Linked DNA regions of Mus musculus. The protein of the gene in region 1 interacts with the protein of each later gene in a biochemical or structural test. Links are inferred from orthologs where the notes say so. Each region holds a gene or a part of one and is shown in the gene's direction. Other genes may lie near its edges. The genes, in order: Jun, Ets1, Sp1, Mapk8, Prkd1, Crebbp and Pml.

Evidence for each region.
Region 2: the proteins of Jun (region 1) and Ets1 form a complex in vitro, tested with the Homo sapiens proteins (2 studies listed by BioGRID). The link is inferred for Mus musculus from reciprocal best matches to the Homo sapiens genes JUN and ETS1.
Region 3: the proteins of Jun (region 1) and Sp1 form a complex in vitro, tested with the Homo sapiens proteins (2 studies listed by BioGRID). The link is inferred for Mus musculus from reciprocal best matches to the Homo sapiens genes JUN and SP1.
Region 4: of the proteins of Jun (region 1) and Mapk8, one has a biochemical effect on the other in vitro, tested with the Homo sapiens proteins (76 studies listed by BioGRID and IntAct, with this or other methods). The link is inferred for Mus musculus from reciprocal best matches to the Homo sapiens genes JUN and MAPK8.
Region 5: of the proteins of Jun (region 1) and Prkd1, one has a biochemical effect on the other in vitro, tested with the Homo sapiens proteins (2 studies listed by BioGRID). The link is inferred for Mus musculus from reciprocal best matches to the Homo sapiens genes JUN and PRKD1.
Region 6: the proteins of Jun (region 1) and Crebbp form a complex in vitro, tested with the Homo sapiens proteins (4 studies listed by BioGRID, with this or other methods). The link is inferred for Mus musculus from reciprocal best matches to the Homo sapiens genes JUN and CREBBP.
Region 7: the proteins of Jun (region 1) and Pml form a complex in vitro, tested with the Homo sapiens proteins (2 studies listed by BioGRID). The link is inferred for Mus musculus from reciprocal best matches to the Homo sapiens genes JUN and PML.

What each region holds. Positions count from the first base shown.
Region 1 is NC_000070.6:95,049,423-95,053,549, reverse strand, and holds the start of Jun (transcription factor AP-1), read left to right. Parts: upstream 1-1,327; 5' UTR 1,328-2,278; coding exon 2,279-3,283; 3' UTR 3,284-4,127. UniProt on the Homo sapiens protein: Transcription factor that recognizes and binds to the AP-1 consensus motif 5'-TGA[GC]TCA-3'.
Region 2 is NC_000075.6:32,751,241-32,754,740, forward strand, and holds part of Ets1 (protein C-ets-1), read left to right. Parts: intron 1-1,558; coding exon 1,559-1,677; intron 1,678-2,972; coding exon 2,973-3,185; 3' UTR 3,186-3,500. UniProt on the Homo sapiens protein: Transcription factor. Directly controls the expression of cytokine and chemokine genes in a wide variety of different cellular contexts. May control the differentiation, survival and proliferation of lymphoid cells.
Region 3 is NC_000081.6:102,430,316-102,433,609, forward strand, and holds part of Sp1 (transcription factor Sp1), read left to right. Parts: intron 1-409; coding exon 410-717; 3' UTR 718-3,294. UniProt on the Homo sapiens protein: Transcription factor that can activate or repress transcription in response to physiological and pathological stimuli.
Region 4 is NC_000080.6:33,384,659-33,388,158, reverse strand, and holds part of Mapk8 (mitogen-activated protein kinase 8), read left to right. Parts: intron 1-862; coding exon 863-987; intron 988-1,533; coding exon 1,534-1,597; intron 1,598-3,500. UniProt on the Homo sapiens protein: Serine/threonine-protein kinase involved in various processes such as cell proliferation, differentiation, migration, transformation and programmed cell death.
Region 5 is NC_000078.6:50,387,250-50,390,749, reverse strand, and holds part of Prkd1 (serine/threonine-protein kinase D1), read left to right. Parts: intron 1-762; coding exon 763-840; intron 841-2,217; coding exon 2,218-2,497; intron 2,498-3,481; coding exon 3,482-3,500.
Region 6 is NC_000082.6:4,115,905-4,119,404, reverse strand, and holds part of Crebbp (histone lysine acetyltransferase CREBBP), read left to right. Parts: intron 1-183; coding exon 184-372; intron 373-1,736; coding exon 1,737-2,150; intron 2,151-3,447; coding exon 3,448-3,500. UniProt on the Homo sapiens protein: Acetylates histones, giving a specific tag for transcriptional activation. Mediates acetylation of histone H3 at 'Lys-18' and 'Lys-27' (H3K18ac and H3K27ac, respectively).
Region 7 is NC_000075.6:58,246,987-58,250,952, reverse strand, and holds the start of Pml (protein PML), read left to right. Parts: upstream 1-1,166; 5' UTR 1,167-1,262; coding exon 1,263-1,412; intron 1,413-3,514; coding exon 3,515-3,966.

The sequences.
Region 1 (4,127 bases):
CATTCGCTCTACTTCTAGATGAGACCAATAAAGCTCAGAGAAGTTCTGAGATTTGCCCTTATGCCCTGGGAGAACCAAGCTTGCCACCTCTTTAGTCCTGAGGGGTGGAGGGTGGAGGGCTGATAGCAGAACCTTAGAAAAGAAATAACTTACATGTGTCTAGCGCTTCCTAGAGGCCGCACAGGATATGACTCCACCAGTGAGCGGGGAGGGGAGTTTTCAGCCTGTTTCTACCAGGGACTCCTGCTTAAGCACCGTGACTTGGGGCGAGTCCGCAGCTCTCAAGGCTTGTTTTCCCAGAAGCAAATCAGGGAGGGAGGAAGGGCGGGCGCAGACTGAGTGTGCGCGGGACCGTGTGTATGTGCTAGCGCAGGCGATCGCCGAGGTTTCCTGAGTTTCGAACCTTTATATGTTGCTTTCGACACCCCATGGGCGCTGGGCTAGCATCTTTCACACCTAGAGGAGGGGTCCCTCGGAGGCAAAGCGAACACCCCTCCCCCGGCACGTCCAGAGAATAAAGTGTTGTGCCGGGGACCCTGATGAGTCGGTTCCGAACACCGCAAATCTCTGGTTTCCAGGTACAGCACACTGCGGCGCAGATCCTTCTCCGAAACTAAACTTCCAAGCATACTCATCTTGGAGGGCTACTCTCAAACCCGCTCAACTTCAACGCACTTACGTGCTCCCACACCCAGGGCGCACACAACCCTTTTAACCCGCATCGCTCTGTCCCCCGGAAGTGCGGGGGTGCGGAGCCAGCTTCAGTCACTCAGATCATTCAGCCCTTTCTCGGGCGTGCGTGCGTGTGTGTGTGTGTGTGTGTGCCCGCGCGCGGGCGCGCGCCTGTGTGCAACCTTCACTCCCACCCAAGCTCTCCGCCCCCGGCCACTAGCGCGCCTCCCCTGCTTTCTGGATCCCCGCGTCTCGGTCCCAGTCCCCAGCCCTGAACTTGAGCCCGCCTCCGACAGACTCCGCAAGGGTCCTGCCGACCGGCAGCCTCCGTCACTAGACAGCCAAACCAAGACGTCAGCCCACAATGCACCGGGCGGGCCGGGAAAGACGCGCCGGGGAGGGAACCCGGGAACACAAGCCGAAGCTGAGCGCGGGAGGGGGGGGGGGGAGGAGGAGAAAGAAGGGCCCAACTGTAGGAGCGCAGCGGAGCATTACCTCATCCCGTGAGCCTTCGCGGGCCCAGAGAAGAATCTTCTAGGGTGAGGTCTCCATGGCGACGGGTGGGCCCGCCCCCCTGAGAACGACGCAAGCCAATGGGAAAGCCTCGGGGTGACATCATGGGCTATTTTTAGGGATTGACTGGTAGCAGATAAGTGTTGAGCTCAGGCTGGATAAGGACTCAGAGTTGCACTGAGTGTGGCAGAGACAGCCTGGCAGGAGAGCGCTCAGGCAGACAGACAGACAGACGGACGGACTTGGCCAACCCGGTCGGCCGCGGACTCCGGACTGTTCATCCGTTTGTCTTCATTTTCTCACCAACTGCTTGGATCCAGCGCCCGCGGCTCCTGCACCGGTATTTTGGGGAGCATTTGGAGAGTCCCTTCTCCCGCCTTCCACGGAGAAGAAGCTCACAAGTCCGGGCGCTGCTGACAGCATCGAGAGCGGCTCCCGACCGCGCGAGGAAATAGGCGAGCGGCTACCGGCCAGCAACTTTCCTGACCCAGAGGACCGGTAACAAGTGGCCGGGAGCGAACTTTTGCAAATCTCTTCTGCGCCTTAAGGCTGCCACCGAGACTGTAAAGAAAAGGGAGAAGAGGAACCTATACTCATACCAGTTCGCACAGGCGGCTGAAGTTGGGCGAGCGCTAGCCGCGGCTGCCTAGCGTCCCCCTCCCCCTCACAGCGGAGGAGGGGACAGTTGTCGGAGGCCGGGCGGCAGAGCCCGATCGCGGGCTTCCACCGAGAATTCCGTGACGACTGGTCAGCACCGCCGGAGAGCCGCTGTTGCTGGGACTGGTCTGCGGGCTCCAAGGAACCGCTGCTCCCCGAGAGCGCTCCGTGAGTGACCGCGACTTTTCAAAGCTCGGCATCGCGCGGGAGCCTACCAACGTGAGTGCTAGCGGAGTCTTAACCCTGCGCTCCCTGGAGCGAACTGGGGAGGAGGGCTCAGGGGGAAGCACTGCCGTCTGGAGCGCACGCTCCTAAACAAACTTTGTTACAGAAGCGGGGACGCGCGGGTATCCCCCCGCTTCCCGGCGCGCTGTTGCGGCCCCGAAACTTCTGCGCACAGCCCAGGCTAACCCCGCGTGAAGTGACGGACCGTTCTATGACTGCAAAGATGGAAACGACCTTCTACGACGATGCCCTCAACGCCTCGTTCCTCCAGTCCGAGAGCGGTGCCTACGGCTACAGTAACCCTAAGATCCTAAAACAGAGCATGACCTTGAACCTGGCCGACCCGGTGGGCAGTCTGAAGCCGCACCTCCGCGCCAAGAACTCGGACCTTCTCACGTCGCCCGACGTCGGGCTGCTCAAGCTGGCGTCGCCGGAGCTGGAGCGCCTGATCATCCAGTCCAGCAATGGGCACATCACCACTACACCGACCCCCACCCAGTTCTTGTGCCCCAAGAACGTGACCGACGAGCAGGAGGGCTTCGCCGAGGGCTTCGTGCGCGCCCTGGCTGAACTGCATAGCCAGAACACGCTTCCCAGTGTCACCTCCGCGGCACAGCCGGTCAGCGGGGCGGGCATGGTGGCTCCCGCGGTGGCCTCAGTAGCAGGCGCTGGCGGCGGTGGTGGCTACAGCGCCAGCCTGCACAGTGAGCCTCCGGTCTACGCCAACCTCAGCAACTTCAACCCGGGTGCGCTGAGCAGCGGCGGTGGGGCGCCCTCCTATGGCGCGGCCGGGCTGGCCTTTCCCTCGCAGCCGCAGCAGCAGCAGCAGCCGCCTCAGCCGCCGCACCACTTGCCCCAACAGATCCCGGTGCAGCACCCGCGGCTGCAAGCCCTGAAGGAAGAGCCGCAGACCGTGCCGGAGATGCCGGGAGAGACGCCGCCCCTGTCCCCTATCGACATGGAGTCTCAGGAGCGGATCAAGGCAGAGAGGAAGCGCATGAGGAACCGCATTGCCGCCTCCAAGTGCCGGAAAAGGAAGCTGGAGCGGATCGCTCGGCTAGAGGAAAAAGTGAAAACCTTGAAAGCGCAAAACTCCGAGCTGGCATCCACGGCCAACATGCTCAGGGAACAGGTGGCACAGCTTAAGCAGAAAGTCATGAACCACGTTAACAGTGGGTGCCAACTCATGCTAACGCAGCAGTTGCAAACGTTTTGAGAACAGACTGTCAGGGCTGAGGGGCAATGGAAGAAAAAAAATAACAGAGACAAACTTGAGAACTTGACTGGTTGCGACAGAGAAAAAAAAAGTGTCCGAGTACTGAAGCCAAGGGTACACAAGATGGACTGGGTTGCGACCTGACGGCGCCCCCAGTGTGCTGGAGTGGGAAGGACGTGGCGCGCCTGGCTTTGGCGTGGAGCCAGAGAGCAGCGGCCTATTGGCCGGCAGACTTTGCGGACGGGCTGTGCCCGCGCGCGACCAGAACGATGGACTTTTCGTTAACATTGACCAAGAACTGCATGGACCTAACATTCGATCTCATTCAGTATTAAAGGGGGGTGGGAGGGGTTACAAACTGCAATAGAGACTGTAGATTGCTTCTGTAGTGCTCCTTAACACAAAGCAGGGAGGGCTGGGAAGGGGGGGGAGGCTTGTAAGTGCCAGGCTAGACTGCAGATGAACTCCCCTGGCCTGCCTCTCTCAACTGTGTATGTACATATATATTTTTTTTTAATTTGATGAAAGCTGATTACTGTCAATAAACAGCTTCCTGCCTTTGTAAGTTATTCCATGTTTGTTTGTTTGGGTGTCCTGCCCAGTGTTTGTAAATAAGAGATTTGAAGCATTCTGAGTTTACCATTTGTAATAAAGTATATAATTTTTTTATGTTTTGTTTCTGAAAATTTCCAGAAAGGATATTTAAGAAAATACAATAAACTATTGAAAAGTAGCCCCCAACCTCTTTGCTGCATTATCCATAGATAATGATAGCTAGATGAAGTGACAGCTGAGTGCCCAATATACTAGGGTGAAAGCTGTGTCCCCTGTCTGATTGTAGGAA
Region 2 (3,500 bases), on another chromosome or scaffold:
GGACCTGTCTGGGTCTTTTCATCTTTCCATCCCTCTCCTAATCTTAATAGGTTAGCCTTGCTCTAAGAGAAAATTTTAAGACAGTACGAGAGAGGTTCTAATAGTATAAAACTTAGCCACTTCAGGGGGCCTTCTGGGGCTGGCACTGTCACTTGTTGGGATAGGTACCCAGCATAGTAGGCCATGTGTATCTCAAGAGTGTGACTACGTGAGAAGCAAGGGAGATGGCTTCTGAAAGCTAGAACCATTTAGCACTCGAGTTACGGCAACCAGGCAGGGAATCTAATTAGGCCCTTGGCTTTTGGTTTGGGCAGTGTATTGAAGAATCTGAAGTCTTGACCCAGCTATCCTGTTTCTCTTCTGATTGCCTTCACCCAAGTTAGATAGCTGTGTTGTACATTGTGGTTTTGTTGTTGTTTTCCTGCACGGTAGGAACCGATAGACTAATAACAGTATCTATCCCGTTGAGTCACTGAGAATTCACAAGCAGAGAGAAAGCGTTGATGTGTAGCTAAGGCCACAGTGATTGATGTGTAGCTAAGGGAGTGTGTAGCAGCTCCCCTTAGTTTTTTGTTAGCAATCTTCTCATATTTGAGGTCTGTAGTGTTAATACAGAGTGCACATAGGACTCAGGTCATCTTTTCTGTGTCTCTCTGTCAGGGATGTGTGAGATTACTGAGCATCATCAGGAAACTTAAGAGTTGACACCGGAGCTCTTATATAGTCCGTTTCTCAAGAGAGGTTTGCTCCCGGGTCACCAAGAATGGCTTCTCAGTGAGTCTCTCATTTGCCATCTTTAGCTTCCTGAGCTCAGAGCAGCTGCTAACTTACCTGGACTCCCAAGAAATCTGAACACGTATTTGAGTTGTACACTAAGTGGATTATTTTACAGATGGGTAGATGTGACGGGAGTGAAGGCTTTACAGCCCTCTAGGTCGTTTGCTTAGAAGGCACTTGCTGAGTGCTTTTATTTTCACAATGTGTTTTGCAAGATGGCTTCACAGAGCTGGAGGTATATTCTCATTGTGGTAAGGAAGAGCTGGCTCCTTTACTTCACAAAGCTTATGTGTGCTGAGGAGAGACTAAACTCCTTTGGCACCAGGGAGACATAGGCAGGTGGATCTCTGAGTTTTAGGCCAACCTGGTCTACAAGTTCCGGGCCAGCCAGTTCTCTGTAGTGAGTCATCTCAGAACAAACAAACAAACAAACAAACAAGATTAGTAATTCCGTAGAACACGTGTGAAGATAGACTTGGTGTTGTCTTTCCAGAAAACTCTGGAATTAAAAGAGCACAGCAATTAAAAGAGACCAACCTGGAAATTAATAAAAACAGACACATGGTGTATCATCCTGTGTGATTTCCTTTTTCTTTTGGAAGGGAAATCTTTACTTTCTCTGAACGCAGAGTACTGACTCCAGTGTTTGTGCTGTCGCTTGCCTGAGTTTTCGCCTGTCTAGACAGGCTGGGAGGCTGGTGAGGGTTGCTGCCTAGTGGGCCTAGCTGCTGTGAGCCTTCAGTGTGTTTTGTTAATGAGCCACTGTGCCTTGTGCTTCCAGGAAGTGGGCCGATCCAGCTGTGGCAGTTTCTTCTGGAATTACTCACTGATAAGTCTTGTCAGTCCTTTATCAGCTGGACAGGAGATGGCTGGGAATTCAAGCTTTCTGACCCAGATGAGGTATGTAATGAGTGACTTGGGAGTCCTGGGCTGAGAATGGGCGAGAGAAAATGCTGGGATTGTGATCCTGTAGGCCCAGATTTCTAGCTCAGCTCTGCTGCTTGCTGCGTGTGCGACCTATGATGCAGCCAGCCCGAGCTTCTGTCTCATCATTGGCAGAGCCCAAAGTGTGTACACTTTCTGGGACAAACTGATGTATATATAAGTTCCTGGTACAGAGTTGGTCCTGCCCTCTGTCTAGTCCCTGGCTCTGTGCATCTGGAAAGATGCATCCACTCTGATCGTTTTCCATCCTTTCATCCCAGAGTGTTGAATAAATGGTTGGTATATGAACGAAGAGATCTCTCTTCTGGCAGACATGAGAACGTGTCTCTACCCTGGTCCAGAAAGGATGCTTCCTACTGGTGGAAGCAGAGGTGCCAGCGCTCTCCTCCCATCCTCTCCCTTCTGCCCAGTTCTGTGCTTTCATTTTAAGGATGCCTGCTTATAATGTGGGCCAGAGGGATGTCTGCCCCACGGCTCTTCCTTTTCCTTCAAGACCAAGTGTTTTAACTGTATTCCAGAGGAGTTCAGAGTCACTGTTTGAACAAGTAAATGGAACTCAACACTTGGACACTTGAAATTAGAAGTTCTATTGCAGTCACATGTATGGGATAGGGACATTGTCCTATTGAGAGGAATACTCTGGGCTCAGAAAGACAGCACATATTCTCGCTTACATGTAGACACTGAATTGCTGATTCCACAGACACAGAGGATAAAAGAGTGACGTATCTGAGCATGGCCAGGAGGAGGCTAAGGGGTTGGGGAGACCCTGGTTAATGAGCCCAAGAATGCAGGTACAGGAATTGGCAACTCTGGAATCTCTGTGGTACTGTAGGGTGCCTACAGAACATTAGCAGGTATTTCAGAATCGCTAATGTGGGTTATTTTGCATGGTCCCCAGAAAGTAATGGGAAATGCCTGTGATTGAAGACATGCCATTTAGCCTGGTCTGATCACGACACAATGCACAGCTGTATTAAAATGTTGCATTGTTCTGCCTACATCTTTTGAAATAATCTCAGAATGTCCATGGCTCCTAACTATACATTCAATGTATAGTTATTATAAACAATTCAAAATATTTTTTAAAAAAGGAAATGAAGGAATAAGTCAGACATATGCACACACACACACACACACACACACACACACACACACACACACACACACACACATGATGTTTGTTTGACCACCATGATGGATGTGAAGACTTGTATAGACACTTGTATTTAATTTTATTTTTATTACAGGTGGCCAGGAGATGGGGAAAGAGGAAAAACAAACCTAAGATGAATTATGAGAAACTGAGCCGTGGCCTTCGCTACTATTATGACAAAAATATCATCCACAAGACGGCGGGCAAGCGCTACGTATACCGCTTTGTGTGCGACCTGCAGAGCCTGCTGGGATACACCCCTGAAGAGCTGCACGCCATGCTGGATGTAAAGCCGGATGCTGACTAGTCATGGACAGACGCGCAGAAGGAAGGGGCTGGGGGAACCCTGCTGAGACCTTTCAAAGAGCAACCCTGTTGGTTGGACTCTTCATTTTTAATTGTTATTCAATGTTTTATTTTCCAGAACTCATTTTTCACATTCAGGGGTGGGAGCTGAGGGAGCGCCGCTGTATTCCATTGGCCATTGGTGGGCCGGAAAGAGGAGGTCAGGACCTGCGGGGTGGGCGGGGCAATAGCTCCTGAGCAGACTTTCAGAAGGGAGAGGTCTTCTCAGAAGCCTGTTGGACCTGGCTTGCAGAGGAAAAAAAAACTTAAGTGTCCG
Region 3 (3,294 bases), on another chromosome or scaffold:
AATGCCCTCTTCAGACAGCTACAATGTATTCATGAATAAAATAGATAAATCTTTAAAAAAAAAAGAAGAAAGAAAGAAAGAAATGAGCTCATAAGCTCTCACCTCTCTTATTCTCATCTCCAGCTCTCCCCCTCCCTTCCCTCCTTTCTCCACTTGGCCATGGCAGTCCTCTCTCTTTCTACCTTCTCTCTTTCTGTCTTTCTATAATAAAGCTCTAAAACCATAAAAAGAAAAGAAAAAAGAAATGATATGCCCATGAAGCAAACTGAAATTCCTAAACAATGTATATGTGAAACTAAGCGTGTCTCCAAGAGTACTTGAATTAGTCCAGAAGGATACACATCAACCTCAACTTTGTTCTGACTGCTTTTTGGCTAATTTATCTTTTTTTTTTTTTTTTTTAAACTAGGAGAGAAGAAATTTGCCTGCCCTGAGTGCCCTAAGCGTTTCATGAGGAGTGATCACCTGTCAAAGCATATCAAGACTCACCAGAACAAGAAGGGAGGCCCAGGTGTAGCCCTGAGTGTGGGCACATTGCCCCTGGACAGTGGGGCAGGTTCAGAAGGCACTGCCACTCCTTCAGCCCTTATTACCACCAATATGGTAGCCATGGAGGCCATCTGTCCAGAGGGTATTGCCCGTCTTGCCAACAGTGGCATCAACGTCATGCAGGTGACAGAGCTGCAGTCCATTAATATCAGTGGCAATGGTTTCTAAGATTAGACACCCAGTGCCAGAGACATATGGGCCAATACCCACTAAGCCCGGGATGCAAGGTAGCATGGGTCCAAGAGACATCTGGAAGAGAGAGCCATGAGGCATTAATGTGCTTGGTGGTAGGAAGAATTGGGAGATGGTACAAAAAAAAGAGATGGGATTGTGGCACCCAATGTCACTGGTGACTCCTTGAAAATGGAAAATATTAGTGAAAATTCTGTTGGTGCCACCCTTTGATCAGCATTTATCTCATCCCAGGTTCTTCTTACACTTCTTACCCCAGCCTCCTCTTCCTGTTTTTCCCTCTTAGCTCTCCCATGATGGATTCCCCCCCCCTTTTCCTAAAGCCATCATGCCTTGATAAATATATATGATCATTGAAATACTTTTTAACAAAAACAGATTCTATATTATATATATATATATATATTAAAAAATATATAGAGATGCTTTCACAGGGGCTGGCTGGGAGGAGGAAAAAGACCATTCTGTGACCAAAATACCTTGGTCTTTTTTTCTTTTCTTTTCTTTTCTTTTTTTTAAAAAAATTGCCTTATTTCTCAATGGCTGAGCCTTATCATGACACATCAAGCTTTCCTTATAAATGTTGTCCTGGCATCCCACCAGAGTAAGCATTCATACTTTCTGCTTTTAGTTCATATATACATATATAATGTGTCTTCTTTCTTAATTTTGTTATTTTATTTGGGATCAGCTCCTTGCACTCCTTTCCTGACTTAATCCTTGTCTCCCTTTCCTCACACGATCACTTCCTGTGTTGTTTTTGACAGTGATTCCTGGATTAGGCACTTGTGTTAATATTTTAAAGACTTTAGTTCCAGCAACAGAGTGGAAAAGCCTGAAGTATAGTCTGATGCTTGAAGTAGCTATGGAGGGAGTGTTCAAAATACTACTGACGCAAGCACCTTAGTGCTGGAGAGTCAAAACCATCTCCCTTTTTTAGCTGTTCTAAACATCAGAAATCAGAAGTCTTTCTGTGGAATTGTACAAGAGGCCCTTTGAAGGAGATATACTTCCAAAATGGTCAAATAGTAGGCAGCAGCTTTCAGTATGAAAAAGATGTTCTCAGAAAAGGAAATAACTCTTAGTCTTGGGTTCAGAAGTTAGTGGAATTATTCGGATTTCAGTATCATTGTCTTCCAAATAGCTATAAGCCTCAATGTATGGGCTTCTGAGTTCACACTCTGAAAGGAAGTACACTTCCTCTTTTGAACATTTCTGTAGTTCCTTCCTATTACTGTTTTAATGTTAAGGAGCATCAGCCAGTGAACCTGTTTGGATTTTCCATCCTGTAGAGTGCAAAACTTGTGCCAGTGGCAAAAGTGGTTCTTTAAAAAAAAAAAAAAGTCCCCCTTAACTCTTCCTTAGATATACTTGGGTGGTTCCTAAGGGAAAGGGAAGCACACAATCATGGGAACGATAGCCCAGAACAAAAAGAAATCTTGTCTTACCACTGTGGATTATAGGAGAAACTGGGAGAAATTATCCTGCTTTCTCTATGGCCTGATTCCAGAAGAGACTGATCCAAACATTTTATCGGCAGGGAAACTCAGTGCGTTTGGCACTGAGACTTAAATGCAACCAGAATTGTCCTCAAGGCCCAGCCATTAAAGCATTGTCTCTCTAGACCTTGTGCTATCTTGTCAGAGAGCTTTTCACTGTGAGGAAGTATGGGAGTGGTTGAGTGTATGTGTGAGATCTGTTAGGTTGGGGATAGGTTTTCTGTTAGCCAATATTTAAAGAGACCTGCAATAAAAAATTACCCTGATCTGATAGAGAAACTAAATTGTTTTTGTATGACTGCGTGTGAATGTATTTGTGCCTGTATATATCTACATGCAGATGAGAACTTATATTTGAAATTGTTGGAAAATAAATTCAGATCAAAACGCCTTTCAGGTCCAGTATCTAGAAATTGGTCATAAAACTTGGGTATGTTCCTAAGGTCAGTTCTCTGCTTATGCTAAATCGGTTAACAGTTATGGGGTTGGGGGGATATCCTAGTGCACTTTCTAAAGAAGAAACTATTTTTGTGTTTGAAAATGAAATCAACATCCAAATCTATAGTGGATTCCTTATTCTAACTTCTCTATCTTGGCTACAAATAGATTATAGTGTTATTATACATTTTATGTAAATTCCATCTAAACTAGGTTCTTGATAAGTTTATGGTATTGTTAGCTTGAAATACTAACATTAGTTTATTCCATTTGGTCCTTTCTATGCAGACTTAATACTGTTATCAAGACTCAGGAAATATTTCAAGGGACTGTCCCCAAATCACATGTTATTAATGTTGACGTAAAAGTTATCTGTCCTCAGCCACCATCACACCTTTTATTCCTAAAGAAAAGCAGAACTCAAACAAACCGTGTTATTTTACATTTATAATCATGTACTTTGCATCTCTGGAGGAAGAGGGCAGGATAACTCAGTGGAGTGTGCAGTATTTTGCTAGAAAATTTCAAGAAATAGAATCTTGTTCAGTATGAGGTGATTAGTTACAAGCCGGCTTCGAGATGCTGAGGACTATAAGCCTTTGGATAAGTTATCTGA
Region 4 (3,500 bases), on another chromosome or scaffold:
ATGTATTTTATAAATCATGTATGTGCCCTGGTTTTATAGAAAAATTATTCTTTAGGTGTGGTGGTTCCCAATGTAATCCTAGCACTTGGAAAGCTGTGTCTGATAGATTGTTAGGAGTTTGAGATAATCTTGAGCTACCTAGTAAGTTCCAGGCTAGCCCAGGGTACATAGCATGACCTGGTCTTTAAAACACAAAACAAAAGAAAAACAAAAAAACAGGGGCTAGAGAGATTATTTGCTGCTCTTGTGGAGGACCTAAGTTCAATTCCTACCCTCCATGTGAGGCAGCTCACAACCACTCCCAAATCCAGCTCCAGAGTGTCCAGTGCCCTCTCTGGCCTCCCTGGGCACCTGCACTCATGTGCACACATACACCTGCCCCTTCCCTCTGTACACACATATACACATAACTGGAAAATGCAATAAATCAAGTGATGGTAAGCACCTTTAATTTCAGCATTTGGGAGGCAGAGAACAGCTCAAGGCTAGCATAGTTACAAAGCAAGGTCCAGGATAGCCAAGGCTACACAGAGAAAACCCTATCTCAAAAGATGAAACAAACAAAACCTGTAATAAATCTTTTTTAGTACTCATAAAAATAAATAACAAAAGCATCTTTTTAAAAGCATAGGATTTGTTTTGTCTTGGTTTAGTTTGGTTTGGTTCAATTTATATAAACCAAGTTCATCTGGAAATTGTTATCCTCTTGTCTCCGCATCCTCCGCTTAGCAATTACAAGCATATGTACCACCACATGCTTGGCAAAGATGAATTTTCTAAAATAAATGTAATCTCAGAATCCTAATGTGCATGGTTGAATAATCTCATGAACTGGTGTATATTAATATCATTATTTTTGCAGCCAGTCAGGCAAGAGATTTGTTATCCAAAATGCTAGTAATAGATGCATCCAAAAGGATCTCCGTAGATGAAGCTCTCCAGCACCCATACATCAACGTCTGGTATGATCCTTCAGAAGCAGAAGCCGTAAGTTACTTTCTCAATGTTTGAAGAGCATACTCCAACCTTAGAGCTGGGACTGAAATACTTTCAGAGAGAACTTGTCATTTTAAGTAAAAATCAGCACAGATCACCGGTGTTGGTGTTTGCCGAGGTTTTCCTAAAGAAAACTTTAGGTTAATGAGCATCTGTCCAAGCCCTCATCATCGTCCAGGAACCTCCACTGTTTCTCACTCTGTTGAACTCACAGTTGATTAGAGGAGCCTAGGATGCCTGTGGGTGCATCCTTAGATAGAAACAATGTTTTGTATTTAAAGCAGAACAGATTTCTGAAATATAGGTAGAATGTGACAATTTTAAAATTTGAGATAAAAGAAAAAAGACAAACAGCTTATTACTTAGAAAGGAATCTTACAGAACTACTCTCCAGAAAGTTAAAGTTAATGATAACTGATTGACCTTTGTCTCATGATTCATTTTTTGCAAGTTGTATGTCTAGCTGATATTTCAAATAATTAATTGTATATATACATCCAGTAAACTATAACAGTTGTTCTGACTTGTGTCTTTCAGCCACCACCAAAGATCCCGGACAAGCAGTTAGATGAGAGGGAGCACACAATAGAGGAGTGGAAAGGTAACACTCACCGGAGTCTCAGACACTGAGGGAGCCTCTGGCTTTCCATAGTGACTTCTTCATGTTACAGAAATTAGTGTTGCTTTCTGTTTTCATAACTTATGTTTAGTAGTAAGGTTTTGTTTATTTGTCTTACAAAAGTAGAAAGTCAGTTTCCTTCCTTAATTTTGAAAATTTGTACCTCAGTTATAGTCACATTAGTGTTTTCTTCCTTGTTCCAGCAGCCATGTTTGGGGTGTCCCATCTACAAGATGACTGGTGCTTGTATTCTCAGTGTACTGTACACACCTGTTTGTTGATGTATCCATATATCTTGAAGATGACAGACCCTATTGGGTCTAACGTCACACTTTAATAGCTGGCAGGTGGTGAGCTATAGGGAAGCTTGTGTCCCAGTCCATATCCAGCTCCCTTGTGAGAAGCACTGAAGGTGGACCTTCACACAGTCTGTTACTGTGGCCATGTGTTTATGTGCACGTACTTCATAGAATTGAGACAGTAGTCCAAAAAGCTTATATGCTGGACCAAATTTTAAATTTTAGTTACTTCCTGATTTTTTATTAAAGAAATTGTAGTTTCTGCTTCTGTCAGCATGATACAAGAGTATTGATCCACAGCCACTCTAACCAGTAGAGTGGCTTAATTTATCATCTTTGAACATCAGATCTAGTTTTTTTCTATTTTATTAATATGGTCATACATAAATATGCTTTTTATTATTTCAGTGTACAGTGTAACAGGTTTCACTATAACATCTTCAGATATGGACATAACCTCTACATTGTTCGTGCCAACCTCCTGTTACTCTCTCATGGCCTCCCTTATTTTCTCTCTGGTCCCTTTTCACCTCCTAACCAGCCCTTGTATGTATTTGTGTCATGTATATTTATATTGTCAAACCCAGGTTCCACATTGGAAAGAAAACATGCAATATTTATCTTTCTGAGTCAAAATTATTTTATTTAACTTGATAATCTCTAGTTCTATCCATTTTTCTGGCAAATGACATAATTTCATTCTACTTTATAGCTGGCTAAAACTAATTTGCATACACATAAACCACTTGTTGTTGTTGTTGTTGTTGTTGTTGTTGTTGTTGTTAGAGACAGGATCTCAAAAAAGCTAGGTCTGCCTGGCTGGCCTGGAACTCCCTATGTAGTGCAGACTAATGCCAAACTTCCCCAGCACTGCGTGCCTCTAGAGTGCTGAGATTAAAGACTGCCACCGTACCCAACCTTACCACATTTTCTCCGTGCTTTTTTTTTTTGTTGATGGCCATCTACACTAATAGTGTATTTACTGCTGTGGATAGTACCACAATAGAAATGGGTGTGCAGATAGCTCTGCTATTGCCTGCCTTAGGTGCCTTTAATGGAATTCTGCTTTTTGGGTTTTTTTGAGGAACCAGTAATTTCTATAGTGACTATTATAATTTACATTTTTACTCTAATATGTATGAAGCTTCCTTTTTTTTCCCCCCACATCTTTACCAGCGTTTGTTACTTTTGGCTTTCTTGATAGATGGTAGCCATTTCCATTGATGTTGGATAGAATCTTGGTACTATTTTTGTGTGTCCCTGATGACATGTGGAATGTTGATATTTTTTTTCATACATTTATTATCCATTTGTATTTTTTTGATAATTTCCTGTTCGGATGAAAAATAAATTTTCTATCTATTGGTTAGGTAGTTGGTTGGTTCTTAGTATTCAGCTTTTTGATAATGCTTTTAAAGTTGTAAGAATATTGAAATAGAAGTATGTGTGTATCCCAGACTAGCATCAAACTTGTGATCTTCCTGCCTCAGTCTCCCAAGTACTAGGATTACAGGTATGTGCCATCCATGCCTGGTCTCCAGCAAAGGATACTATATAAACAAAACAAAACAGAAATACCTTGAACT
Region 5 (3,500 bases), on another chromosome or scaffold:
ACACCTTCGTATGGGAGAGAAAATTTATTTCAGGACTCAAGTGAACTCTATAACTTTCTTTTTGGACCAGTTGGAAAATATTTAAGGTATATTTAATGTTTGTTTAGTCTAAGAGTGGCTGTGAGAGACACCAAACATAAAGTTGAGTCTTTGCTCCTGAAAAGATGCTAATGCACGAATCCCCCCAAAGGTGATGTACCAAGAGAGAAAAACCCAGTCATTAAGTCACAGTGATGAGCTGAGGAGCCAGCTGGATATAAGTCTCTAAACTTGGAACCATGAGGGCAAACCTTCCATCTAATGAGACTTATTTAGTGATGTAGCATTCAACATTCTATGGAGAGTAGAAGTGAAGATGCTTAGCTGAGTCCTCAGGGCCAGTCTAAAAGATTAACACAGACAAACCATCTAGCTGCTACTAAGCCCTGGGTTGTTTTGTAGACTACAAAATCTCCTTTAGCTTTTTAAGCAAATAAATGTTTAAAAATTGGGTGTATTTTGGTATTCATTGTGTGCATATGAATGTCAATTCAGGTACTTCCCAGGATGCTAACCCAGTATCTCGGTTATAATTCACAGTCTTAGAAGTAGGTACAAAAACACGTCACATTATGCTCATTAAATAGCTTCTTGAGTTAAATTGTAAGTTGTTTTTGCCTTTAAATTTAAACTTTTCACCATCAAATCCATGTTCCCTCAGAGAAATTGCACTTGTTTTTATAAAGCGCTCGAATTTTTAAAGTTGTGTAACTTCCATTTCAGCGGAAAAGGCACTACTGGAGATTGGACAGCAAATGCATAACACTCTTCCAAAATGACACAGGGAGCCGGTACTACAAGGTGAGGCTGGCTTCTTTCAGTTTTGCCTCATAATGTTCCTTAAGGAAATCGGGAAGTTGGTCCACATCCAACAGTGTGACCATTCCTGGGCTCCCGAAAGAAACCTTTTAATTGGCGGGATGCGGTTTTTGTAGGAGTTCAGATGTGACATCTTGATTAATCTGTGTGTCTCGCAATTGCCAACAACGTGCTTCTGGCGCAGGGGCTTCTGGGGAGCCGGATGCTGGAGAAGGAAGCGGAGGGGAAGCTAAGTGCAGCAGGGTAGCTGAGTGGTTTGGTTTCAATAGAGAGTTGGTGGCCACAACCCGAGACTACGAGTAAATCTGACATCCTCAGGAAGCCAGCACTGGTTACAGGGAGATCCATTCCTCTGTGTATGTGAGGATCGTATCCCTTTATTTATCAGCAATCGTCTGCCTTTCTACATTAAATAATATACAAGTAGTGTCTAGCTCAGTTCCTGTGATACTTCATGGTCTCCGTTACACAGCTATGACACCACACAAGAAAAGGTTATTAGATTTTTAATTGAAAAAAAATAAAATTATTACTTTAGTTACTTTATGCATCCTGCAGTATAGTATGGCACCTCATGTTTTTAATACTTAAATGACTATTAAAAAAAAACAACTAATTTGGGAGTTAGGAAGGATGGATCATTCAATAAATTACTTATCCCATAAGCTTGATGATCTGGGATCTGAGTTTAAATTCTCAGAACACATAATGACAATGATCATCATTGTTATCATCATCATCAATAATAATAATCCAGGCATAGTCTAATATGTCTTATAACCCTAATGTAGACACAGCAGAAATAGGCAGATTTCTGGAGCCAATCAGTGAGCCTGAGTTTAGTGAGAGATTCTATCTCAAAGATAGGTACTAGTTGTACAGGCACACGTGATTTAAAAACAAAACTTCATTGTAAACTAATTGCTGTGGTTTTTCTCAGTGAACATTCCTCTATGTAACTATGCTGTATTAGCATATATAGAATCAAAATATGTTTGACTGAGATGAAGAAACAGTTGAAATACAAAACAGCCATGAGTATCCTAATACATTTTTAAAGATGTTATAATTTGCTTCAAAGCTTTTTAGATTCTTCCATCTGCCACTGGATCAGTATGTGTGAGAGAGAGAGTGAGGGAGGGTGGAAAGATGGAGAGAAGAAATTTTTCAGAGAGTGTGATAAGGCCTCATTATAGAAAATTACATTTTATGCAGGTTATAAGGCCTCATTATAGAAAACTACATTTTATGCGTGTTATATATATTTGAAAATATTTTCTGTATTTTGTAACTTCCTTTCTCATTTAATAATCGGCATGATTTTGGTTAACCACATTTACCATTCTTTGTCTTCCATAGGAAATTCCTTTATCAGAAATATTATGTCTGGAACCAGCAAAACCTTCAGCTTTAACTCCCGTTGGAGCGACTCCTCATTGTTTTGAAATCACTACAGCGAATGTAGTGTATTATGTGGGAGAAAACGTGGTTAACCCATCAAGTTCCCCACCAAACAACAGTGTTCTCCCCAGTGGCATCGGTCCGGATGTGGCCAGGATGTGGGAGGTGGCCATCCAGCATGCTCTTATGCCCGTCATCCCCAAGGGCTCCTCTGTTGGCTCCGGATCCAACTCACACAGTGAGTCCATTGGCTTCAGTCTGGCATGGCTCAGGCTCCTGATGGTCCAGTAAGAGACCTGCTGCTTTCCCCAAAGAGATGATAAAGAAAGACTCCCCGTGCTGGCTTCAGTTTGTGGCAGAACATGGAATCTCTGAAGGGAAGCTGCTATGCTTACTGAAATATGTATTAAATTGTTATACTTATTTTATATTAGAGCTTTTATAAAGTCAAGTATAACCTATATACTATACGACCACAGGTGCCCACAGCTATTGTTCCTAAAAGACACCATTCAGTCAGTTTGAGCTTCACTTGGAATGACACAAATATGAAAAAAAATCTATTTGCTACAAATCCCTCCTCCTTTTCTACCCATGGTCTATGACTGTTGTTGCTGCTTGATCACTTTATCCCAGGAAGAACTTTCGGTGCACTAGTCAAATAGATTCAGCTAGAGTAGAAGCAAGATGAAATATTGAGGTGGATCTTAAAAAAATAGAGGAGTACCTTTATGAAATTATGATCTGAAATTCTATCACAAATCATGCAACCTGAAGATTAACCTGTTTTAACATTATAGTATATTTTATCTGTCATAATTATATTTTTTCTCAGTATATTAATAGGATACACTTATTTTGACCACAAGGAATGTATCTGTATGTAAACTAAGCACTTAACCAGAGGCCTCTACTTTAACTCCTAAAACCCCATTCCTTAATGATTTGTCTACATTCAAACAGAAACAATTTCTAGAAAGTTGGTTGTCTATTAGCTAACAGAATGGCTGCATAATTTAACCCGAGCTCTATGCTGACAAATAAATATTTAAAAACAAATTACAGAGTTTGTAATGTTAAGGGAGCTAATATATTTTAATAGAAATTTTGTAGAAATACCTAATTGCTGTGATTAATGTAAATATAGTAAATATGGCCCACTGGGGTCTTTAAAAATATACTTTAACTATTTCTTGTCTGTTTTTTAAACATGCATTTCCAGAAGATATTTCTGTGAGCAT
Region 6 (3,500 bases), on another chromosome or scaffold:
GCCATTCTGAAGACAGTTCAGCATTGACTTGAGAAATTGTAGAAAGTGCCTAGGAACTGGGGAGTCCCTGGGAAGTAGTGGTCTTTAAAACCAAAGTGTACTAGATTTGTAAGGCTTTGGATCTCCACTGTACTGTGATCTCTTGAAGACTCTGACCTAACACTTCTGATTCTTGTCTTATAGATGGCCATTTCTCCTTCACGGATGCCTCAGCCTCCAAATATGATGGGCACTCATGCCAACAACATTATGGCCCAGGCACCTACTCAGAACCAGTTTCTGCCACAGAACCAGTTTCCATCATCCAGTGGGGCAATGAGTGTGAACAGTGTGGGCATGGGGCAACCAGCAGCCCAGGCAGGTGTTTCACAGGTACATTCACTGAGGGAGCCTGGTCAACCAGTATTTATATAGCCCCAGCCTTTGTGACATGATCCTGTCTTAGTTGATGGAAACTAGAATTCTAGAATATACATCTTTCCATTTCCCGTTTGCCCTATAATTTTTAATTTGTGTTTAATTTTTCTTGTTCCCTCTAGGTAAACTTCACACATAAAGTAAAATGGATTGTGGTTGTGGGGGTTTTGTTTGTTTGGTTTTGGTTTTTGTTAGTTTGTTTTGTTACTCTTATATTTTTACCTTTGGATTTTGGTTGCTGTTTGTGTGCTTTAGAAATCTAAGATTAACGTCATTCTGAGAAATACTGGAATTTTAAGAAGGGGTGAATTTTCTTTTAGTGACTTGGTTAGTTTTTTGTATCTTAACTATGTGTTGGGGTGACAGAGCTGTCAGAATCATGGGAATAGCACTCTTCTCATGAGCATGTTCCAGTTACTTAGTCATAGCTGAGTTCCCATCCAGTTTACTGCTTTCCCTCACTTTGGTAGTGCATCAAGTGTCAGCTGCATACAAAGTATTTCAAATAGGCTAAATCTTTCTCAAAATATAAAAGTCCTGTCCTTTTAAACACTCAGCTGATGCTGAATGCGTTGTTGAATATATTAGGTTTACTCGGGGATGATTAATTTTCCCTATCATTTCATTTCTTTAGAACAGAGATAAGGAAACCAACTCTATTCCCTTTCCAGAGTCTCTCCATGTAGCCCAGGCTACACTCTTTATATCTCAGTCATTTGCCACAGTGACCAGTAGTTTCAACAGCCAGATAGTAAATATGTTCTCTTTCCAGAGTCATACTCCTAGTCGTTCGTAACTGTTTAGCTCTGCTCTTAACCGTGTACAAGTAGTTACAGACAATGTGTAATCTCCTTGTGGTTGTCATCCTATAAAACTGTTGGTGGTACCTAGGTCAAATTTCTCTCTGGAACAGCCATTGTGATTCTTTTTTTAAAGTTAGGGGTCTCCCCAGTGCTCTATGTTCTACTGTCTCAACTTATTTAAAAAACAAAACAAAACTCCTTTTTCTGTGGTCTAAGTTAAAAGTAGATGTGGCAAAACATGAAGTTAGTAAACTAAGTAAATATGTGCCTAAGCCATGACTATTGTAACCTGATATTGAAGTTCTATAAGTCAAAGTATGAGAAGGATTTTAGTGCTAATTTTATTACATGGTGTGGTGCATGCTATAAATGGTTAGTCTGAAGTTTTACAAATGCAATATCCTCCTGAAACTAGCAGAACTAGTTAAGAAACTAGTATAATTTTTTTTTTCTACAAGTCCCTCATGGTTTCAATTGGGTAAAATAGTTTTTATATATTCTTACTATCTCTTTTAGGGTCAGGTACCTGGAGCTGCTCTCCCTAACCCTCTGAACATGCTGGCACCCCAGGCCAGCCAGCTGCCTTGCCCACCAGTGACACAGTCACCATTGCACCCGACTCCACCTCCTGCTTCCACAGCTGCTGGCATGCCCTCTCTCCAACATCCAACGGCACCAGGAATGACCCCTCCTCAGCCAGCAGCTCCCACTCAGCCATCTACTCCTGTGTCATCTGGGCAGACTCCTACCCCAACTCCTGGCTCAGTGCCCAGCGCTGCCCAAACACAGAGTACCCCTACAGTCCAGGCAGCAGCACAGGCTCAGGTGACTCCACAGCCTCAGACCCCAGTGCAGCCACCATCTGTGGCTACTCCTCAGTCATCACAGCAGCAACCAACGCCTGTGCATACTCAGCCTCCTGGCACACCGGTGAGCCTCTTTGTCCTTATCAAGTCACACTTGTACAGAGTCCCTTAAGAATGGTCTGTCGGGCACTCAAAGCACTGGCAGGCTTATCTTGTGAGCTTGAAGCCAGCCAGAGCTAGGAAGTAAGACTCTTATCTATAAATATAAAATAAAAGACTATTCTGTCTGTCAGGATGCTATAGCAAATTGCTCTGGTGCGAAAAACTCGTGTGTGTGTGTGTGTGTGTGTGTGTGTGTGTGTGTGTGTGTGTGTGTGTGTGTGAAATTGTAGTAAACTGATTTGTTCCCACTATTATTGGCCCTAAAGGTATGGCTTACAGTTTCCCTTGGTCAGAGTGGTTTATAGAAGTCAGTAATCATCAGTATGTCACAGCATGGACAGAACTATTGAACTGTGTGTGCTGCCATTCTTTTACCTGGTTTTTGTTCTAGAGTAATACTGTCGAGGTTTGACTGCTTTTGTGCTTAGTTCTGTGGGTTTAGTTATCATGCTTCGCTCCAGACTATAAAGGTCCAGGCTAATCAGCCTTCTTTCAGAATACATGACTTTTTTTTTTTATTTATAATGAAACAACAGATCCCCTCCTCTCAGGTTTGCATTAATTCTGTTCTTAGATACTTAGGATATTTGTAGAATAACAAAATCATTCAACAGTTGCAAAGATGACATTACTAATTTGCTTTCTCTATAAGGGCATATACTTACTCTCTTTGTTTTTGTCTCCAATTATTTATGTTTCCTGACTTCAAACCAGGCCTTTGTAAACACTAGGCAAGCACTTTGCCACTGGCTGCATCCTATGCCCTCTAAGATACTTGTATTTAATTTTTCAATCTTCCTTTATTAATTTATGTACTGCTTAGAGCCTGTTACATGGTAGTGGAGTGTTTGCTTACTACACCACCATCACTACCCTGTGATAGATGCTTCATATGGGCCATTATTTCATGACCTCTCTGTAAATACTTTTTTTAATAGTTTATAATTTGCCTTTCTCCATAAATAGGAATGTTAGTGAAGAAAAATAATGGTAAAATAATCCAGTCTGAAAGCAGAGAGAAAATAATTTTATGTCAGAATTTAGAAAACTCTGTTTGTCCAGCTCTTCATTTTTGGTAAGAAGTCAGTCATTGTGTTTCTGACACTCAGTGACTGACTGTTAAGCTTCCTCAGGGAGCCTCTGCCCTTCAGTGTTCACACTAAGTACTTAGGCTGTAAAGAAGAATAATGAGCAGACTGCGGTGGGAGGACATGTATGGCTCTCCTTTACAGAGGTGAATGACTGTGATTTCTTTGCAGCTTTCTCAGGCAGCAGCCAGCATTGATAATAGAGTCCCTACTCCCTCCTCTGT
Region 7 (3,966 bases), on another chromosome or scaffold:
ATGGGCTAATTTTAAAGGCCAAGGGATACTGGTCAGCTTAGATGTATGGCCTCCACAGTCTCCAGGATGTTGGGTCTCCCTTTAGAACCCATCTCACCACAACTCTAAGTTTACAAAAGCAGGAACCTGTTACCATCCCTTTTAATCAGTTTCACATAGGAACAGAGAATAGGCACATAGGGGCCAGAAAAGTGGGTGGGAACAGACTGAAGTTAGAAGCCAAAGGCACTGGCCAATGAGAGTGTCAGCAGGTGTGTGTTTTCCTCACCCACTAGTTTCTGGATTGCTTTTTCTTGGTCAAAAAGCTAACTTTGTATCTCTTGTTTTCTTCACCACTGCTGGCCAGCTCTCCCCTTGCCTCCCTGTTGTCTACCTCTGTACGATGCACAGTCATCAGACCCATTCAACGCTGTTCTGTCACCACGGTCCTTCCACTGACTCAGAACTAACTCTGTGTCCCACAGTTACTTCTCATAGGCCACCTGCCTCAAGGTCATTCAAGAGACGCAGCTGACACGCTGTAAGAAACCCTTCACCAACTCTCAGATCATATGTAGAATCGGTCCATTTCTCACCGTATGATTCATCTCATCTTCTCTGGTATCACTTCGCAGGAGCCCCATCTTAAATCTGAAAATGGCCCTGACTACTTCCCAAACTGGCTCTCCTGTTTCAGACCTCCACTCCTTTCCAAGTGTTTGTCTCTCTTTAAAATGTCTGAGCAGCTCTGAATTCCTGGTCATTTTCTATCTCATGCTCCATTCTCAGCTGAGGGATGCCTTTCCAGGCAAACCCATCCCAGTACTGAGTCGAAGTCTCCACTAGGGTGCACTTGGGAGGCTCTCTCAAAGAGGAGTTTATTTCTCTACCTGGCTTTTAACTAGAAAGACATATAGCTGTGGAATGAGTCCAATAGCTCACAGACAGGGAAAAGCCTGTCAGCTCTGTTTCTCTCCTGGTGTGCATGCTGCGTACGTGGCCGGATCTTTCCTTGTTCTGCTAATGAGCCATGCCCGCATGCCGGGCTTGTTTACTTGCTTGTTTGGTTAACCTTTCTGACTCTACCAGAGTTACTTCCATAGCTCCCTAGTCTTTCTCTTAACTTTGGAAGGGAGATTATAGAACCAGCCTCTCCGCCCCTAGACCCGCCCAGCCCTGTCTCACTTCCTCTCGGGAGGCGGGCTCTCCTCGGGCAATCTCTCGCTCAGTTTTCTGGCTCAGATCTGAGACCCATTTCCCGCCTTCACAGACCTAATCAAGAAATGGAAACTGAACCAGTTTCCGTGCAGAAGGTACCTGCACCCCCTGGATCTCCCTGTCGACAACAGGACTCTGCCCTGACCCCCACGCCCACCATGCCTCCCCCAGAGGAACCCTCCGAAGACTATGAACACAGCCAAAGCCCTGCAGAGGTACTACTGGGTTAGAAGGTGTAGGGCTATTAGGTTTTTTTATTCGTTTACTTTGGTCGAGGAGTTGAGGATGAAGAAGGTCGTTATAGAGAAGTAAGTTAATGGGTTAGTGTCCTAAAGAGACACCAAGGTCCTGACCCTCCTGGCTGGGCAGAGGTAGAACTGATAGCCTAGAGTAAAATAGGAACAGGGGCCCGGCGGTGTGGGGCACACCTCTAATCCCAACACTTGGGAGGCAGAGGCAGGTGGATTTCTGAGTTCAAGGCCAGCCTGGTCTCTACAGAGTGAGTTCCAGGACAGCCAGGGCTACACAGAGAAACCCTGTCTAAAAAAAAAAAAAAAAAAACCGGGATGAGTTGGATTGTAACTGGGGATAGTTGGATTGTAACTCCTACTCCCTGAAGCCTTGCCTGAAGCGCCTACCTCAGATGAAAGACTATAGTCCTGTGGAAGGCCTGGCCAGGAGTCTTATTTGCTCTGGCCTGGAGCTAAAGGCATGTCCCAGACTTGGCAAAACTATAGTCGCCCTCCCTGACCCCCACACCAACACTTCCCGTTTTTCAGCTGTGGTTGCACATCCCAGGAGCAATAGTGCTTGGGATGGTAGGGCTGGAGGGAGGATGACAAGTTCCAGGCCAGCCTAGGCCACAAAGAGAGTTCAAGACCGCTGAGGGCATCACAGCAAGACCTGTTTCAAAACAAAACAAACAAACAGACAGAACCTGGCTCAGACCAAAGTGCCTGCTAAGACCAACAGGATTCACACAGCTGCTTTCTCTTTTGATTTTCATCAATTTATTTTATGTGTATGAGGTTTAGGGATTTATTTTATTTTATCTTTTGGAACACAGGGTCTCACTCTGTAGCCTTGGCCGGGCTGGAGCTTGCTTTGTAAGCCAGGCTGGTCTCAAATTCATAGAAACCACCTGCCTGCCTTCTGAGCTCTGGGATTAATGTATGCGCCACCAAGCTCATTTTCCTAAGGAAGCCTAGTTCATGGCCTTCCTGGGAGTATTGCCTCAACCTTCCATACTCACCCTGGAAGGAACTACCTCCATCCCATTATTCTTCACTCATTTTTCCCTTCACAAAAAACACAAATAAGGTCACATTGCCCTAACTTTTTATTATTAGCATTATATAGCTAAGGATTAAAAATACTAGTTGACATTTATGGGTACTTCTCTCTCTCTCTCAATCTCTCTCTCTTTTTTTTTTTTTTTTTGGTTTTTCGAGACAGGGTTTCTCTGTATAGCCCTGGCTGTCCTGGAACTCACTTTGTGAACCAGGCTGGCCTCGAAATCGCCTGCCTCTGCCTCCTGAGTGCTGGGATTAGACTTATGGGTATTTCTCATGTGCCAGGCACCATGGTATTGAGCTCTTTGAACAGTAGCTCCACCTTCTATACCTATGAACTAACTATTATTATTTTATATGACATGACTGGAATTACACAATATTTCTAATTTTATGGCAGGCATATTATTTCACCATGTCTTCAAGGTTCATCCAGGTTGTTGAATGTATCAGGATTTCATTCCTCTTTCAGGGTGAATACTATTTTGTTACATTTGCAGACACATTTTGTTCATGCGTTCATGTGCTAAGGACACTTGGGTCACTGTGACTTTTGTGGGGGTGTTGCTAGGCACATTAGTATATAATTATATGCTTGGATATTTTTTCCAGTTCTTTTGAGTATATATATGGAAAGTGGAAGCTTGGTCATACGGTAGTTTAAGTCTAACTTTTTGAGGGTCATCCTGCCAATTGTGTTAAGCACTTTATATGAAGTTGATACTTTTCCAAACTTGAGTCCCTTAAATGCAAAGATGTATCTATCCTATCTTGTATCTCAGGACCTACTAGTGAGTCTAATGATAAGCAGATGGGTGCCCGGTAAATTGTGCAGTGAGAGCTGCAAGGCTCGAAGTAAATGAGGAACTGGGGTGCCGATAAGCCAGGACATGATCCAATGACTCCCAGGAATGGAATGTGAGGTCCTACCCTCTCCAATCTCCAGCTGAAGGGATGGGCGGCCAGTGGAGGGGACAAGACGTCTGGGCTTTCTGTAGGCCTCACTTCTCTCCTTGGTTCACTAGCAAGCCATACAGGAGGAATTTCAGTTTCTGCGCTGCCCGAGCTGCCAGGCCCAAGCCAAGTGCCCCAAACTGCTGCCTTGCCTGCACACGCTGTGCTCCGGATGCCTGGAGGCGCCTGGCCTGCAGTGCCCCATCTGCAAGGCTCCTGGGCAGGCCGATGCTAATGGGGAGGCCCTGGATAACGTGTTCTTCGAGAGCCTGCAGCGGCGCCTGGCGGTGTTCCGGCAGATCGTGGATGCTCAGGCTGCGTGCACCCGCTGCAAAGGCTTGGCCGACTTCTGGTGTTTCGAGTGTGAACAGCTCATTTGCAGCAAGTGCTTCGAAGCACACCAGTGGTACCTCAAGCATGAGGCCCGGCCCCTGGCTGATCTCCGCGACAATTCAGTGAGCAGCTTCCTCGACAGTACGCGCAAGTCCAATATCTTCTGCTCCAATACCAACCACCGCAACCC